Linked DNA regions of Arabidopsis thaliana. The protein of the gene in region 1 interacts with the protein of each later gene in a pairwise test. Each region holds a gene or a part of one and is shown on either strand. Other genes may lie near its edges.

Region 1 (5,511 bases):
AACTTTGGGACTAAATCATTGGATTTTCAGTCAGACATTTCGTCGAACAACTCTAGTGCATTAAGAAGTGACATCAAGATTGAAGCTTTGAGTTCTAATTTAGCTGGCTTATGCTCAGTAGATGTTGAAGTAGGTAGGATACAAGAAGACAGTTGTAAATTGAATACAAATTCATCAGAGACTAAGGTAAAGAGCAAGTTTTGTTATGGTGAAAAGGAAAAGGAAAGGTTCAGTAGAATACTAAGTTGTTATGTTGGATCATATAATTTCCATAACTTCACTACAAGAACAAAAGCAGATGATCCGACTGCGAATCGTCAAATCATCTCCTTCACTGCTAATACTGTGATTAATCTTGATGGGATTGACTTTATCAAGTGTGAAGTCTTAGGCAAAAGCTTTATGCTTCATCAGATTCGGAAGATGATGGGTCTTGCTGTTGCAATCATGCGGAATTGTGCTTCTGAATCACTTATCCAAAGTGCTTTCAGCAAGTAAGCTTCTCCTTTTTCTTTGGTTTTGAAGCTTTGCAATGTCTATAGTTTTGTTTGTTTTGATACTCAGTTCGGAAATTATGTAACCAGGGATGTGAATATAACTGTACCAATGGCGCCAGAAGTTGGACTTTATCTGGACGAATGCTTCTTCACGTCTTATAACAGAAACTTTGAAGACAGTCATGAAGAAGTGTCCATGGAAGCATACAAAGAAGAAGCTGAAGCATTCAAATTGAAGCATATCTATTCTCATATCGGCGCTACAGAGCGAAAATACGGAAATATGGCTCTTTGGTTACATTCCTTGAACTATAGAAACTATCCAGACCTAAACTTTGGCAGCTGTGGACAAAACACAGACCAAGTTCTTGTTCATAAGAAAATTGATGAAAGAGCAAGTCATAGTCTCTAAGCAAAATGATGGAAGCTTAGTTTGAAGATTTTGACATTGTTTTTGTTATTGTTGGTTAATCCCACCATTTTTGTAACTTTTTAATCAAATTAGTATATTTTTGTGTTGTAAGGTGACACTAATGAATTGATTTGTTATCCTCCAACGTCGTCGTCATATAAAAGATTTTCTTTATTTATGGAAGAGAGAAGAATCTTATTTGAACAAATGTTTATCGAATAAGAATCGGTAAAAAATGATTATAAGGAAGAAACGTGGAACCGAATCTACAGGCAGAGGGACGTGACGTTACATATGAGCAGAACCATATATAAAATCCCTAATCGCACGTCAACCTCTCCGAAGCATAAGGCCCATAACTTTTTCTATTTAATTTTCTTGTCATTTTTACTATTTTAATTGTTATTTAGGGTAAATAAAATGTCAGACTTCGATTGACCCAATGAGTTTTAGGGTGTGACTCCTATCTCCGTCTGCACTAATAAGTACTACTTTAACTTTCGCTTACCAATGCATGTCAATACTCAACAGTGACATATTTTTAATTTTCAGAGGTTTTTCAATGCCCAAAAACTTTGATATATAAAGATCGTACGAGTTTTAAATTCCTCACCTAAAAATTGTCAAGTATCATTAGTGTATAAAGTGCATAGATCGTGTTACAAATTCTTCACTTTCGCTCTTATTTTTTGAATACTCACTATATATATAACACTAAAATAAAAGTGAAAGAATCTAATATGCTAAACCGGTAAAGAAAAAAAGCAAGACAGTCCGATTTTTAGATATTATCGATGTTTTCATATAAATTAGACTTAAGAAATTTCAAAAATAAAATAATGATTGATTATGTTGGAAAGAAATAGATGTGACCATATTTCGACTGCTCGTAAGCATAAAAACTAAAGTAGGTGGGGTGCAATAATTACTTTTTAATTAATACAGTGAAAAAGTAATTAATACAGTATTAGTAGTATCAGAAAAATTACAAAGCAACATCACTCAAAACGCCTCGAAAATAAAAACAATAATTTGAAAGCAAATATATACACAATTATAAAGTTTAAAATTTTAAATTTCCTTATATCTATGTGGTATGTATTAAAACTCACAAAAAGAAAGAAAATGACAAATCCTCACGTCCGTTACTTTTAAATCCGTAGCAAAAATAAATAATTTAATTTTCTATCTCTATATCTCTCTGATTTAATCACAAATCTTATCTTGAATCGTTATCTTTCTCTTCTTTCCTTAAACCAAAACCCAAAAAAGAGAGACCAGACAAAAAAAAAAAAACTCCCCAACAAAAAAAAGATATCTGTCTCTACTAAAAGTCTCTCTATAGCGATGTCATCGGACAACGAATCGACACCGTCTCAAGCGACGGTAGAAATGATGGCGACTTCGCCGGCGAAGATTAAAGAGTATCCAGAACCATTGGCTTTACATGAAGTTGTCGTCAAGGATTCTTCTGTCTTCTGGGATACTCTCAGGCGGTTTCACTCAATTATGTCCACTAAGTTCATGTAACCATTATTCTTTCTCTTCTTCTTACTTAATAAATTTAGTTTTCGTCATTTCATCTATCTTATTTTATTATTTTTGTGTGATATAAACAAGGATTCCTGTGATTGGAGGAAAAGAACTAGATTTGCATGTTTTGTATGTGGAAGTCACGAGGAGGGGAGGTTACGAAAAGGTCAACACTTTTTGTTTTCTTTTTCAATACAGATATTTTTTTACTTTATGGTAATTTATTATCGTTTCTTATATGTTGTGTTGTTTTGAAAATGCATGTTGAATTGATAGGTAGTCGTAGAGAAAAAATGGAGGGAAGTTGGAGGAGTGTTTAGATTCTCTGCGACAACAACAAGTGCTTCGTTTGTCTTAAGGAAACATTATCTCAATCTTCTCTTCCATTACGAACAAGTTCATCTCTTCACTGCTCGTGGTCCTCTTCTTCATCCCATAGGTTTGTTTTTTTTTCTCAAACCTTCTTCAATTGATTACTTTTAAATATATATAGTATACATTTCATTATATTCTTCAATTATCATAGATTTGTTTCTGTTGAGAATCTTTAATTCAACCGTTTGATAAATGCTAATCAATGAATCATAAGATGGTTCCCATATTGTCTTTAATGCCCTAGGACTAGAAAGTTCAATTCGTTGTTACTCATTAACGATAGTCTGAAAGGCTTGAATCTATAATAAAATAATAAGAATAACTTTTCAATTATGTGAAGTCATGGGTTCAATCGTGGGACACATTCTTACTACAAACGTGGGAGTTCAACGATTGTATATACCCGAATTATTGTCATCATTTCTATCTATATGGTTATTGTAATTTTGTTTATGTCTTGGAACTATAAGTTATTTAGCGACGATTATTTATGTTACATATAAGATAATCAATTTTTGCAGCTACATTTCATGCAAATCCCTCAACGAGCAAAGAAATGGCGCTCGTCGAATATACTCCTCCGAGTATAAGATATCATAATACTCATCCTCCTTCTCAAGGTTCGTACGTATTATCAATATCTAGTATATACTTGTCTTTGTTCTATGCTTTATATCATCATTTTATGACAAAAAATGATTAAGGTCTTAGTTAATGATTATGTATATGTGAAACTTATATTTAGGGGCACAGTTTAATTTCGTATGATAATTGTCTAGTTAGCTTTATGTACTTATCATAAAAACCTTAGTGTTTATCGCAATACTTTTCAAATATAGTGTAGAATCATAATGGTCCCACTGTCATTATGTTTGATGCAAATCTATTTGGATTTTGTTGGATAATAAACCGATGACGTGGACCAGACCAGTAGCTATAAGATTTGGTTCACATAGAAATTTTTTATAAGATAATGTATCTAGGTTTGCTTATGATTATACATGTGATATTTAATACATGGCACAGGTTCGTCGAGTTTCACAGCCATAGGTACAATAGAAGGCAAATTCGATTGTGGTTATCTGGTAAAAGTTAAGTTGGGCTCAGAGATTCTTAACGGCGTTCTTTATCATTCGGCCCAGCCCGGCCCATCATCATCTCCAACCGCTGTTCTAAACAATGCCGTTGTACCTTATGTTGAAACTGGGAGGAGACGGCGTCGTTTAGGTAAAAGACGAAGAAGCAGACGCAGAGAAGATCCGAATTACCCGAAACCGAACCGGAGCGGTTACAATTTCTTCTTTGCTGAGAAACATTGCAAGCTCAAATCACTTTATCCCAACAAGGAGAGAGAGTTTACGAAACTTATCGGAGAATCGTGGAGCAATCTCTCTACCGAAGAACGAATGGTAACAAATTATCTTTTAAACCGTTACCGATTTAGTGATGAAATTAGATTTGTAGTAAATCGATAACTGAACCGAGTTTTGGTTATTGCTTGTAGGTTTATCAAGACATTGGATTGAAGGATAAGGAAAGGTATCAGAGGGAGTTGAATGAGTACAGAGAAACGTTGAGACTTAGGGATGGTGACATGACAAACGGCAAGGCTTTTTAGGTGATTTAGTTAAAACGGCAAGTCGTTTTGTTGTAGGTCGTTTCTCTCTTTTAAGATTGGACGCCTCGCCGTTTCTTTTATTTTCTAGCTTATTGTAGTTGTCCATGCTTGCTTAACTAGGCTCAGTGAGAGGCTAGACTTGCCAAACTTGAAGAGTCTTTATTTATTTAAGAATTTTAGATGTTCTAATGTATTAATCCTTTTTCGTAAACCTTTCCTGTTAAACAAGAGGTTTATGTTGCATGTTAAAAAAGAGGTTTAGGTTATATTAGCAATTTAGCATTCGATTCGTTGGTTAGTAACTAAGTAATATAAATACCACAAGAACAAGAAATACTAATGAAAACTTGGAATGTTCAAAGTCTCCTTATCTACTTATGCAACGTTAGACAAAGCTATCAAACAATGCCACGTCACCTCACAAAACATCTAGGGTAACCAATCACATGCAGATAACTCTCTCGCTTTATTTTCTCTTCAAATCTTATCAAAAATCCCATAATGTTTTCATTTCTTTACAAGTGATCAACAAAACACCCCAAAAAGTAAAGAAAATGGCCGCAATTACATCAGCTACCGTCACCATCCCTTCTTTCACCGGCCTAAAGCTCGCCGTCAGCTCAAAACCTAAGACATTATCCACCATCAGTAGATCCACTTCCGCCACCAGGGCGCCACCTAAGCTCGCTTTGAAGTCCTCTTTGAAGGATTTCGGTGTCATCGCAGTGGCAACAGCAGCTTCGATCGTTTTAGCTGGAAATGCGATGGCCATGGAGGTTCTTTTAGGATCCGACGACGGTTCCCTTGCTTTCGTACCATCTGAATTCACGGTGGCTAAAGGAGAGAAGATCGTGTTCAAGAACAACGCAGGGTTCCCACATAACGTGGTGTTCGACGAAGACGAGATCCCTAGTGGTGTGGACGCAAGCAAGATCTCGATGGATGAGACAGCGCTTCTAAATGGTGCAGGGGAGACTTACGAGGTTACTTTGACAGAGCCAGGCTCTTACGGTTTCTATTGTGCGCCGCACCAGGGTGCTGGTATGGTTGGGAAACTCACCGTCAAGTAAATTGTC
Region 2 (6,384 bases), about 22 Mb from region 1:
ACAAAGCTCAATGTGAACGCCATTTCCCATTGCTCTCCAGCTAAATTACATAGCTTAAATCCCTATCATAATGAAAAATTCGCTTTTTTCTTATACGTGGTAAATTGGGTAGAGTCTAGGCTAGCAGAAACATATGAATCTATTAAACCCTATTTTCAACACCTAGATTCTCAAATCCCCACTAACCCCAAAAGGAATAAGACAAGCTCCATTATTACAGAACAAAAGCTCTTTTGTCTGAAAACTTAATCTCCCAGAAGAAGATCACTGATCAGAGAATGTACATTCAAAACCTTAGGGAAAGAAAGAAAGCGCCAAGCAAAGAAGAAGAAGAATAAAGAACCTCTGCAAAATGTTTCCTCCTGGTTCTGCTCAGAGAACAAAACAAAAAGACAGCCACATAAGAAGGAGGAACTTGTTGGTTTGTAAATATTGTTTGTTTGTTCCAATTCCTCACTCTTAAAGACTTAAAAGCTCCAAGATTTTAGATTATCTTTAGTAAGTAATATGGATAATAAAAATAGAAATGAGAGAGATCGTTCATGAGAATTGGAGATACAGACGCATTCTCTCAAATCATGAATCCATGTGGGAAGGAAGTAGGATGTGATTACTTCTTTAGATGTCTCCCTCTGCATGTGACTTCTGTCTTCTAGTTTAGATTTTCTCCAAATTATCCTTCTTTTTATTTCTTCCCATTTTTTCTAAAATACATTGCAAGCACTATTAAATATAATGGGAAATAAAGGAGGCCATCAAAATAAATGAAAATAAGTTTTCTTCTCTATGTTTTTACATGAGCAAAAAGAAGAAAAACGAAGTAGTTGTTACATGAAATTTAGAAATTTTGTTTTCATGTAAACAGGTTGATAGAATCACATGCTATGCTAATCAACAACGAAATTAGTTGGATATGGAACTACATGCTTTAGCCTTTAGTAGTTGGATTGCCAACTAGGACTAGTTTGACTTTTCTTCTACGTTATCTCCAAAATTTATGTTTCCTACTGAATGATCGACCAAATTCTAATCTAGCTCTAGAAAGAGTAAACAAGGCTAGAGTTGAAATTGAAAACCATAACATGATAAAGGGTAAAACCAGTTTAGAAGAATCACTCCACATTCTAGAATAAACCATTTTTATCTGACATTTAAGCTAGTTCATTGTGCAAAAAAATAAAAACTATGAGGGAGGAAGCATAACATTGCTTGGAAGTTGAATTAAACCCGAAAAAAGGAGAAAATTGCAGAGAATAAGAAAAGAAGGAAAAGAAAAAACCTAACTCAGAGCTAGCTTCTCATCATCCTCACCAGTGACCACGATAATCTAACTTAGATTCTAAATAAAACCCACCCTATCTCCAGACTAATGTACAGGAAAAGAAATGATGTTGTTCATGCTGTTGTTCCTCTGTTCATAGCGGAGAATCTCTCATCTGTAAATCAAATGCTCAAAACGAACAGAGTTAGACCCAACTAGTTTTAGATGCAATGGCTTCTTCTGTTTTTGTGTAGCCTAAAGATTCGATCATAAGGACTTTAAAGACGTTAGCCCACCTTTGTTTTTGTAGCTATGACTCTCCAAGTCCGGTCTTGTTAGCCCTATCATCTATCGTAATCGCATTTCTAGATTCTAAAGACGCTTCATCAACCTGAGGAACTGATGATGGAGCTGTATTCACTGTATTCACAGTGCCCTGCACAAAGATTTTCAGTATTTTAGGGTCAAGAAATTGCATAATCGGCATTTTCAGAAACGAAATGACTAAAGACAGGTTCTTGAGGATATATGATTTTAAAAACGCACCATATCGAGTTGACTTGCATCTTGGTTCTTGGCATCAGAAGTAACAACAGAGGTTTCTGTTTCGTGTGGTGCCACTGCCACTGTGGTTATGTTAACACCCAGAGGGTTGCTGATGGTATCAATACCAGCCTCCATACCGTTTAATTGAGAATCTTTGGATTCTACAGCATTAGCTTGATCCTTGATCAAAGTTCTTGATATCTTTGATCTATTGTCCTGATCCCCGTTCGACATAGCTGGCCTCTTTCTATACAACAAATACACTTGTTCACAAAACGATGCACACAACTGAAAACCCCGGAAAGAGGAAGATTAATTTAACCACTCACCTACTAAAGCTTTGATCTGCCGGCAGAATAGAGCTGCGCTTGTTTGAAAACAAAACACCACGAAGCACTTTTCCATCTATCATTGTTTCCATAGTGTAACCAACCGGGTAACTCTCGGTTATCCGGGCTTGAAACATCATCTTTCCTTCATTAAATTGGCAAGTGTTCAAACCAAAATTTCCTCTTCCTACAATAAAATCAAGCATATACAAACTAGTGAGTTTCTGCTACAGAAAAAATGCTACCTTTGTATGTTTCAATCTAATATTGACTAGCGCAGAGTCTGCCTAAACACACCTTGATGATCCATATTGATTCTGACAAGTGATTTATCGTACAAGGAACTTGCATGACTTTGTTCTTGGCATTTTATCTTCAATTGCTTCTTTAGAGACAACATCCCTACATTTTGATCAAATCTTGCATCGTATCCAAGACCTATTAACCGGAAACAAAAATGATTAGAGTGAGAAAATCCCTGTCCAGATGTCCCTATGAATCAGATAGGCAATAGGTGAATTAAAGGGGATTTGCCGCAACCTGTCTGTAAGTAGAACATGTCATCCAACGCCTCGAGATTCTTATTGCAGCCACCAACAATGACAAGAAAACCAGCTTTGTGAGGATCTAGACAAGCCCCTGCAGAAGAGAACCTAGCAGATGGTCCTTCTCCCATGGTGAGAACCTTGGACCATATACACGTATCTACAGGTACAAACAACAACAAAACAAAAAACAATGAGAATATGCGTAATTACAAAGAAACCAATATTATGACACTAATACACTTTAGAAAGCCTTTTACAGGTTTCCTTCTCATGGAAATTGGATACAATGGTTCATCTTAAAACCTTTAACCAAGCAGATTTTGTTTGGACAAGAAATTAGGACCAAAGCCTATCTACCACATAAGTCATAAGTATTATATATGGCTATTAAATGATGATTCAGTTACATACCGACATCAAGCACATAGAGATCATCGTAAAGATTCTGAGCATCCGTAAACCCTCCAAAAACAAAAAAGTTCCTCCCAAGTGAAACAGTAACATGACCAGCTCGAGGTGTCAACAACTGCCCTGAAGTATTCAACTCTTTCCATATAAGTGTATCTGAAAGTCAAAAAAAAATAACGTACATTAACTTTCAGATAAAAGACAAACACTCGTAAAGGTTAAAAGAACATGAATTCAAGATGCTTTTTCACCTGTATCAAGGATATGAACATCGGACAGATAGTAGTCATGTCCATCTTCGCCACCTATAACAACAAGTTTGTTCTTCCACGATGAGCAAGAATGGCTATCCCGCGCAGATGGAGGATTCCCAATTGTAACAGCCCGTTTCCACACAAAAGTTTCTACACAAGCATAAAGCCGATTAACTTACTTGCATCCTCGAAAATTTAGTACAAAAGTATTTTAAAGACTCAACATTAACGCAAGAAAGGATATGGTTTCAACTTGTTTTTAAGTTAGAATCTATCTAAGGTCCCTTATCAATGAATAAAAGATGATAATATGGAAAAGATTCACATGCCAATTTGAAGAGAGCCATGAGTAACCAACCATTACCTGTATTAAATATGTAAACGTCATTGTAATAGATTTCTTCATTAATACCAGAAGATTTCCCACAGCCACCAAAGACAAACAGCCTTTTACCAACCAGTGTGGCGCTATGACCTTCTCTTGCCTCAGGTCCCTCTCCCCTAACACTCGGACATTTCCAAGTATGTGAAGCTATAACCACACAAAAAAAAATCAAACAAAGTGGGAATGACTTCTTCATATAGGGAGAACTCAAAACTTGAAATATACAAAGAGAAAGCTTACAAGTATCTAGAATATACAAATCCTTAAGAGGGTTAACTCCATCAGTACCACCAAACACAAAAAGATTGTCGCCGACTGTTGTACAGCTGTGACTGTCCCTGGGAGGAGGAGGTGTGCCATTGATCATTGGCTGAGTCCATATCTGCTTTGCTGCAACAAGGATCACCACAGTGAGAGAGCAAGTAAACCACAACGGACCAAAAGCTTCCTCAAAAGAGTCAAACCAAAATCATTAAAGGAAAAAGCTTTAAATACAAAATTGGATATAGAGAAATGGGGATGTTTCTCATACCAAAATCTGACAAACAAAAAACAAATCAGAGTGTAATTTCTTATCCTAAAGCAGACATGCAATATGGATGAACAAAGGTAGGAAACTTAGATGATTGTCTAGAATCGAAATCCGAAATGGGAATCAACCCAAATCCGCCATTTTTTGAGAACAGAGACGATGTGGAAAGAGAGAACTAACCAGCGTCGAAAACATGGACTTGATTGGTTTGGCAATTATCTCTGCCATAGCCACCGAAAACATAGAGAAAGCTACCTCCTTTAATGGCGTTACAAGTGTGACCCCACCTCTTACCGGGCCCGGAAGAAGACTCACCGAGACCCACTTGTTGCTGTAGTTGTCGGACCCTTTCCCACCTCATTTTCCGGGCGAGAATCGTTTGGGGTGAGAAAGTGCGGGAAAATGAAATGGGTTCTTTTTTGGAGGAGGAGGAGGAATGAGGAAGAAAGAAAATCAGAAATCCAAATTATATCTTATGGGCGATTACAGATGATAAAGCTGCTTCATTTCTTTTGCTTAGGTTTTTTATTCGGTTACCGGAAAAATAAATTAAAGAAGAGAACAAACAAAAAAAATTGAAAAACCTGGTGAAGAGAAAAACAAAAAAAAAAACTTTACTTTATTACGTGGCACTTTTATGACGTGTCGAGTATTTACTGGTTGTTTATAAGTCTCTTAAAATAGTGAAATGGGTCCCGAGGCTTAAGGATTTACGTTACAAGGATTTTCGTTTGTGTTTTTTTAATAACTAGATGAGTACTCATGTTACGCGTGGGTTTATTTTGAAAATTGTTAAAGTGTTGGCAAGTGCTGCTAGCGGTTCCGCAACTCTCCTTCGTTACTTTATTTAGAACTTGATTGTTCTTTATGTTAATTTATATTTACTATTTGTTTATTTTTGTATTGTTAATAAAATTAGATGCATAATTTGAAGTTACAATTTTTATGGTTAGATTCATTTGTTACTTGAAATATTAATTTATATATTTTTGTGTATAAAGCTGATTATTTATAAGATTTTAATATTTTTTTACTTCATAAATACATATAAAAACAATAATGATATTTTGATGCAATTCTGTGTAACAATGTTATTTTTGTAGTTTAAAATTTTTCTAACTTGATTATAAATAAATCAATTCCTTGTATACTTCAAAAATATTGTGATAGATTCATAATTAAAGTTTGGATTGATATCAACTGAAAAAGATCTTAAGAGTATTCGTACAAAAAAATAAAAATATAGCAAAAATTGATGTCATTGAAGTCAACACTTTTGGATCTTTTGTCATTGCATATAACAATATTAGAGAAATGATTGTGTCTTGGATGATTTGAAAATTGTTCAACTTGATTATAAATAAACTATTTATAGTTTTATTTATTCTCCAGATATAATACTCCAACAATATTGTTATAGGCTCATGATTAAATATATAGAATTGATATAAACTGAACAAGATTTCAAAAATATTCATATGAAAAGAATAAAAAGAATTCAAAAATTAAAGTATCATTAAAGTCAATACTTTTAGATCTTTTGTCATTGTATATATCACTATAAGAGAAATGATCGTGTATTACATTATTTGGTAGGTCTAATATTTTGAAGGTTTATTATTTGAAAAAATTTGAATGTCAATGTTATCAAAGACTCAAAATTAAATTACTAAACAAATAAGAGGTTAGGTAGCAAACAAGTACAACACAATAAAAAATTAGTTATGATTATTGATGATAAAAAAAATTAATAAATAAAAAGAGTATAATGAAAGTAGTACTTAATTTGTTTACATAATTTTATTTTTTATTTTTATTTTGGAGAAATCAATTAAGAGTAGGATTGATAATATATTTAATTTGTTTATTTAATTTTATTAGTTTTATTAATTTAAAAAACATCGAATGACATATGTCACTTTGTTGTGTGATGATGTGTCATTAACAATATGCAAATTATTCAAACTATTAACTAATCTATAACTACTATACACTCATAATTTGAGTTAAGATTACAGAAAAAATCTTTAAGTATGAGAAAACCAATCAAATAATTTTATTGAAAAACATGTAATAACAAATAAATTTAATATTAGTACAATTAAATATATAAAATTAAAT
Region 3 (4,344 bases), on another chromosome or scaffold:
GATCATTAATTTCTTTATATATTGATATAAAAATCTAAACTAAGAATTATCATCGTACGAAAAGAATGGAGGGTGACAAACATAATAATTCTAAGACAATTTTTTCAATGCATAAAAAATAATCCTACGACAATGATTATATCAGAGGATATAGTTGAAGAGATATTTCAATATCTTCCAATAAAATCACTAGCTAGATTCAAAGTCTTGTAAAAAAATGGAGATCAATGATCAAATCAACCTACTTTTCCCACAAATGACTCGTTCGTACAGGTTTACCAACCCCTAATATGAAATATCTTCATGTTAGTCAACACTTTTCAGCGAATTTTGTTGAAGAAGATTCAACTCAATAACTTTTCTTTTGGAGACTTTTTCTAGAGATGACCATAACAACGGAAAAAACTGTCATTCTTCTTCTTGTTACTACACTTTTCCTGATGATCCAATCGACAAATGTCAAAATAAAACCATTCAAGTATTGGGATCTTGTGATGGATTGGTCTTGATTCAGATCCATGACGATTTTAGGCACATTTACTTGATCAATCCTTCGACTAAAGAACACATGAAACTTTCCAAAGTGGTGCGTCGTTGGTACGCACCTTGGTTACTTTCTTAGATTACATGACCGTGCATACATGATATTTGTTATTATTAGTTAAACTTATACATATCAACTTGATTACTTTTTTTAGCTTTGTAGTATCCGAAAAAACTTTTCATGCATGCTCCGTTAGACCTTTCGATCTGCGGTAATTTCCGTAACGTTCGCGTAGCCAGGTTGCAAATTAAATCGCAACCTCAGTATCTTGAAGGCAAATCAAACCTTGGATGGGTTTAGAAACATTTCAAAGTGGTGTTTCGTTGGTACACATCTCTTGTTGACCGGAAGACAAGAACAATGCTTCCTCCTCTTGACAAACAGAATGAAACAACGTTTCGGGTTTGTTTTGGTAGATTGGTAAAACATTGGTGACGAACAACACTCGAGGCTTTTTCATTGATCAACTCAAGTAAATTTCTCTGAATTCTACGGAGCAAATAAATGATGCACATTGCTTTGAGACGCATAGCCATTTCGCCAAGACTTTTAGAGGCATCGGTAACAGAATCTTCATTTGTAGATCATAAGGAAGTGTTTCAAAGCTTGAATTCTCCATTCTTGTTTTTTTGTTTGTTATGATATTTTGTGTTTTGAGACATAGAGACCTACTAAACACACATGTGATATTTATAAGAGATTCTCAAAAATTGGTTTGTTACCAACGTTGTGACTTGTTGAGTCGTAAAACGTGTACATGCATCTCTGATTTATATTTCCAAAAGAGAAATATTAGTTCCTCACATTAAAACTTACCATAATTATTGGCCAATTAAGATTCTTTATTTTCTACTTTCTCTCGTTTAAATTTATCTTTTAACACAAAAATAAAATAAAAATCATTAAGAATTAAAAATTCCAAAAAAAAATAGAAATAATCAATGCACCACAAGCACTCCAATTAAACGCAGGCGTTTTGATCATCACCGGAGGAGGTCAATTTCTGATTTCTTCCGGCGAGAAAACAAACGAAAGAGTGAAAAAAAGGCGACTTTTTTCTTGTCCCGGGTTATAAAGATGTCAGCTTTGTGTCCTGTCTGCAATCTCACGCTTCCTCTCTCCCTAATCCAAAGGTATCAATCCCTAATTTCAGCTTTGTGTCCCTTATTTCTATATGCTTCTTAGTTGCATTCTCTCGAGGTCTTGATGTGTTTGTCTGGTTATGGTGGATGGTTTGACTCAGCCATGTGAATTCCCACTTCGAAGACGATGAAATCAATCCACAAATCGAAACCGATCACCACTTGGCTCTGCAACTCGCTTCTGATGATCATTCTTCTGATGATCCTTCTTCGTCTTCCTCTGCTTCATCATCTGTAATACTTTCTTAAAACCCTTAAATCTTCTTTCCACTCCTGTGTTAGGTTCAGAAAAGAAAACCCAATTGATAAAACATTGTTTCATTTCTGCAGAACAACGTTGCCTCCTTGGTCCAGTTACAGACTAAGAGTCAATTCTATAGTGTAGGTCATGGTGGTTTGATTTGTTTGCTGAGGAACTGTCTGGAGTCAGAACTGAAATTGAAGTCGAAACCTTTAGAGTGTAGTACTAGTTTACTATCAGGCTTTGTTGATCATTTTCAATCTTCGAAGGAGGATAAAGGTTGGGGATGTGGATGGAAGAACATTCAAATGCAATGCTCTCATTTGCTTTCTCATAGAGAAGAAGCTAAGAGAGTTCTCTTTGGTGGTTCTAATTTTGTTCCTGATATTCCTTCGCTCCAGCGATGGCTTGAGTTAGCTTGGAACAAGGGGTTTGATGTTTCTGGAGCTCTTCATTTTGATAATCGAATATGTGGTTCCAAGAGATGGATTGGAACTACTGAATGTGCTGCGTTGTTACGTTCTTTCGGGTTGAAAGCGAGGATTGTTGATTTTGCTCCCGAGAAGTCTAAATCGATGTATCTTTCAGTTCCTGGTTCTGCTATTGCACCCAAGGTAAAGTCATATGGTCCCATGGACAGATATATGGTTAAAAAGGGGGGAAGTGGGAAGGGAAAAGCAGTTGACTCTCATAGTTCTAATTCTTCTAGGATCAGCAAAGGAGCGGTTTTAATGGAATGGGTTTGGAATTACTTCTCAGATAACAGGTTAAGTGTTTCATCCGGTGTTCATATTACGAATAAAGGGTAGGTTGTTTTGTTTCAGTTCTTGATCTCTGAAATGTCTTTTGTAACTTCAAAACACATTACGTCTAAGGTTCCTGAGTTGATGTTATCGTGTGTACTGCAGGCCCTTGTATTTCCAACATGAAGGGCACTCGAGGACAATTGTTGGGGTTCAGAGACGGTTGCAAGGAACTACATTTACTCCTCAGTACAATCTCCTAATTTTGGACCCGGCTGATGTGAGTATACATGAACATCAGCTTTTACTAAAGTTGAATGTGATTAATGATTGTGAGACTTGAATGTGAATGCAGTTTACTAGAGCTATAGAGATAGCGCTTATAGAGAAGAGAGGATGGGAGGGATATCTTAAAAGAGGAGCTCACACACTGAAATGCCCCGAGTATCAGGTCTCAGCTTTGAACTCTGATATCAATCATTTCTTTGTTATTTTGCATAAAGCTAAGTGATTTTGTCTGAGTGTGATTTGGGGAATATTGTGATGATATATACATACAGATGCTGTACGTTGATAATGGAATTGCTGATGGAGAGGAGTTGGAGAAGCTCAAAACCATTGATAGTCACTTTGTTGAATTCTAATGACTTCCATCAAAAATTGAAGAATGGTTCTTGAAGATTCTTAGATTAATTGCAATTTTTCAGGACTAGGAGTTAGACTACTATGACTTTCCAAGTTTCAACGAACGTATAAGATGTGGCTATTTATTAGAAACATTGAGAAAATACAGAATTTTAACCAGAGATAAGCATCTTTATCACCACACCTAAAAATAGAAATGTCTTTCCAAAAGCACTTAAAACTAGAGAGAACGAGTCATAAAGTAAAAAAAAAAAAAAAGAAGCTATAGAGCTTTTTTTCAATTCCTCCAAGTTTGGTGATCCCTTCTTCCTTCCTCTGGCAACAAAACCTTTTTCATGTGTGCCTCAAATGAACAACAAAACCTCACTGTTGTTCTTCCATGGACTCTGAAAATTGTGACATTTTAGAGGTTTTGTTGGTTATTTAAGAGGCAGATGCAGCCACCTTCTTCCTCACTATCCTTTTTCGCCGAGCCTTTGGAGGTGGAGAATCTGAAACTGAATCTTCTTGCTTCTTCCCGAGTAGCCCTGAGACAATTGCATTCTTTGAGATGAACCATTTTGAAGATGGCTTTGCTACTGCTTCCTCTGAGGGTCGGTTGTATGCTTTTGCCAGCAGATCATCTGACTGCGCCAGTGGGTCTGCCTCTACACCTAGCCATACTTGTCTTGACTTTTCCCCTAATTGCACATTCATAATCCTGTACCACATACATCCATCCATATTCATCAACGATCTTGATCCCCAGATTAAAGGTTTCCTAAGTCCTAAGACAGAGTTTTACAATACAATATCCAAACTGCCAACATGTCCTGTTTATGTATGACATGTACATATGTGGGAGAAAGAGAATACCTCAAGGCAGTGCCGAAGAAGAGTGCTACTCCTATGACGTCAAAGTGACTGCTCACTCCTCTTTCAAATCCACATAACAGCTGATATCTCAAGTTGGCATATATTCCAAGAAATGCACCATAACCAAGAGCATTTGTGCTGATAGATGGGACCGTCACAGATACTCTGTCAGAA

Evidence for each region.
Region 2: the proteins of AT1G76110 (region 1) and AT1G18610 interact in a two-hybrid assay, tested with the Arabidopsis thaliana proteins (one large-scale study listed by BioGRID).
Region 3: the proteins of AT1G76110 (region 1) and AT5G24680 interact in a two-hybrid assay, tested with the Arabidopsis thaliana proteins (one large-scale study listed by BioGRID).

The regions. Positions count from the first base shown.
Region 1 is NC_003070.9:28,554,211-28,559,721, reverse strand, and holds AT1G76110 (HMG (high mobility group) box protein with ARID/BRIGHT DNA-binding domain-containing protein), read left to right. Parts: upstream 1-2,106; 5' UTR 2,107-2,256; coding exon 2,257-2,435; intron 2,436-2,529; coding exon 2,530-2,608; intron 2,609-2,718; coding exon 2,719-2,881; intron 2,882-3,338; coding exon 3,339-3,437; intron 3,438-3,843; coding exon 3,844-4,226; intron 4,227-4,321; coding exon 4,322-4,435; 3' UTR 4,436-4,688; downstream 4,689-5,511. Other genes in the region: AT1G76120 (Pseudouridine synthase family protein), read left to right, coding at 1-494, 585-909; PETE1 (plastocyanin 1), read left to right, coding at 4,882-5,505. UniProt on the Arabidopsis thaliana protein: Binds preferentially DNA with A/T-rich content. Required for karyogamy during female gametophyte development, when the two polar nuclei fuse to form the diploid central cell nucleus.
Region 2 is NC_003070.9:6,404,019-6,410,402, reverse strand, and holds AT1G18610 (Galactose oxidase/kelch repeat superfamily protein), read right to left. Parts: upstream 4,797-6,384; 5' UTR 4,625-4,796; coding exon 4,444-4,624; intron 4,122-4,443; coding exon 3,972-4,121; intron 3,879-3,971; coding exon 3,711-3,878; intron 3,497-3,710; coding exon 3,344-3,496; intron 3,249-3,343; coding exon 3,096-3,248; intron 2,842-3,095; coding exon 2,677-2,841; intron 2,575-2,676; coding exon 2,434-2,574; intron 2,324-2,433; coding exon 2,137-2,323; intron 2,055-2,136; coding exon 1,808-2,054; intron 1,698-1,807; coding exon 1,572-1,697; 3' UTR 1,558-1,571; exon of another isoform or gene 1,437-1,557; 3' UTR 871-1,436; downstream 1-870. Other genes in the region: TRM3 (LONGIFOLIA protein), read right to left, coding at 187-212.
Region 3 is NC_003076.8:8,452,045-8,456,388, forward strand, and holds AT5G24680 (Peptidase C78, ubiquitin fold modifier-specific peptidase 1/ 2), read left to right. Parts: upstream 1-1,530; 5' UTR 1,531-1,621; coding exon 1,622-1,677; intron 1,678-1,787; coding exon 1,788-1,920; intron 1,921-2,016; coding exon 2,017-2,732; intron 2,733-2,835; coding exon 2,836-2,950; intron 2,951-3,025; coding exon 3,026-3,121; intron 3,122-3,230; coding exon 3,231-3,314; 3' UTR 3,315-3,474; downstream 3,475-4,344. Other genes in the region: AT5G24690 (plant/protein, putative (DUF3411)), read right to left, coding at 3,739-4,015, 4,171-4,335.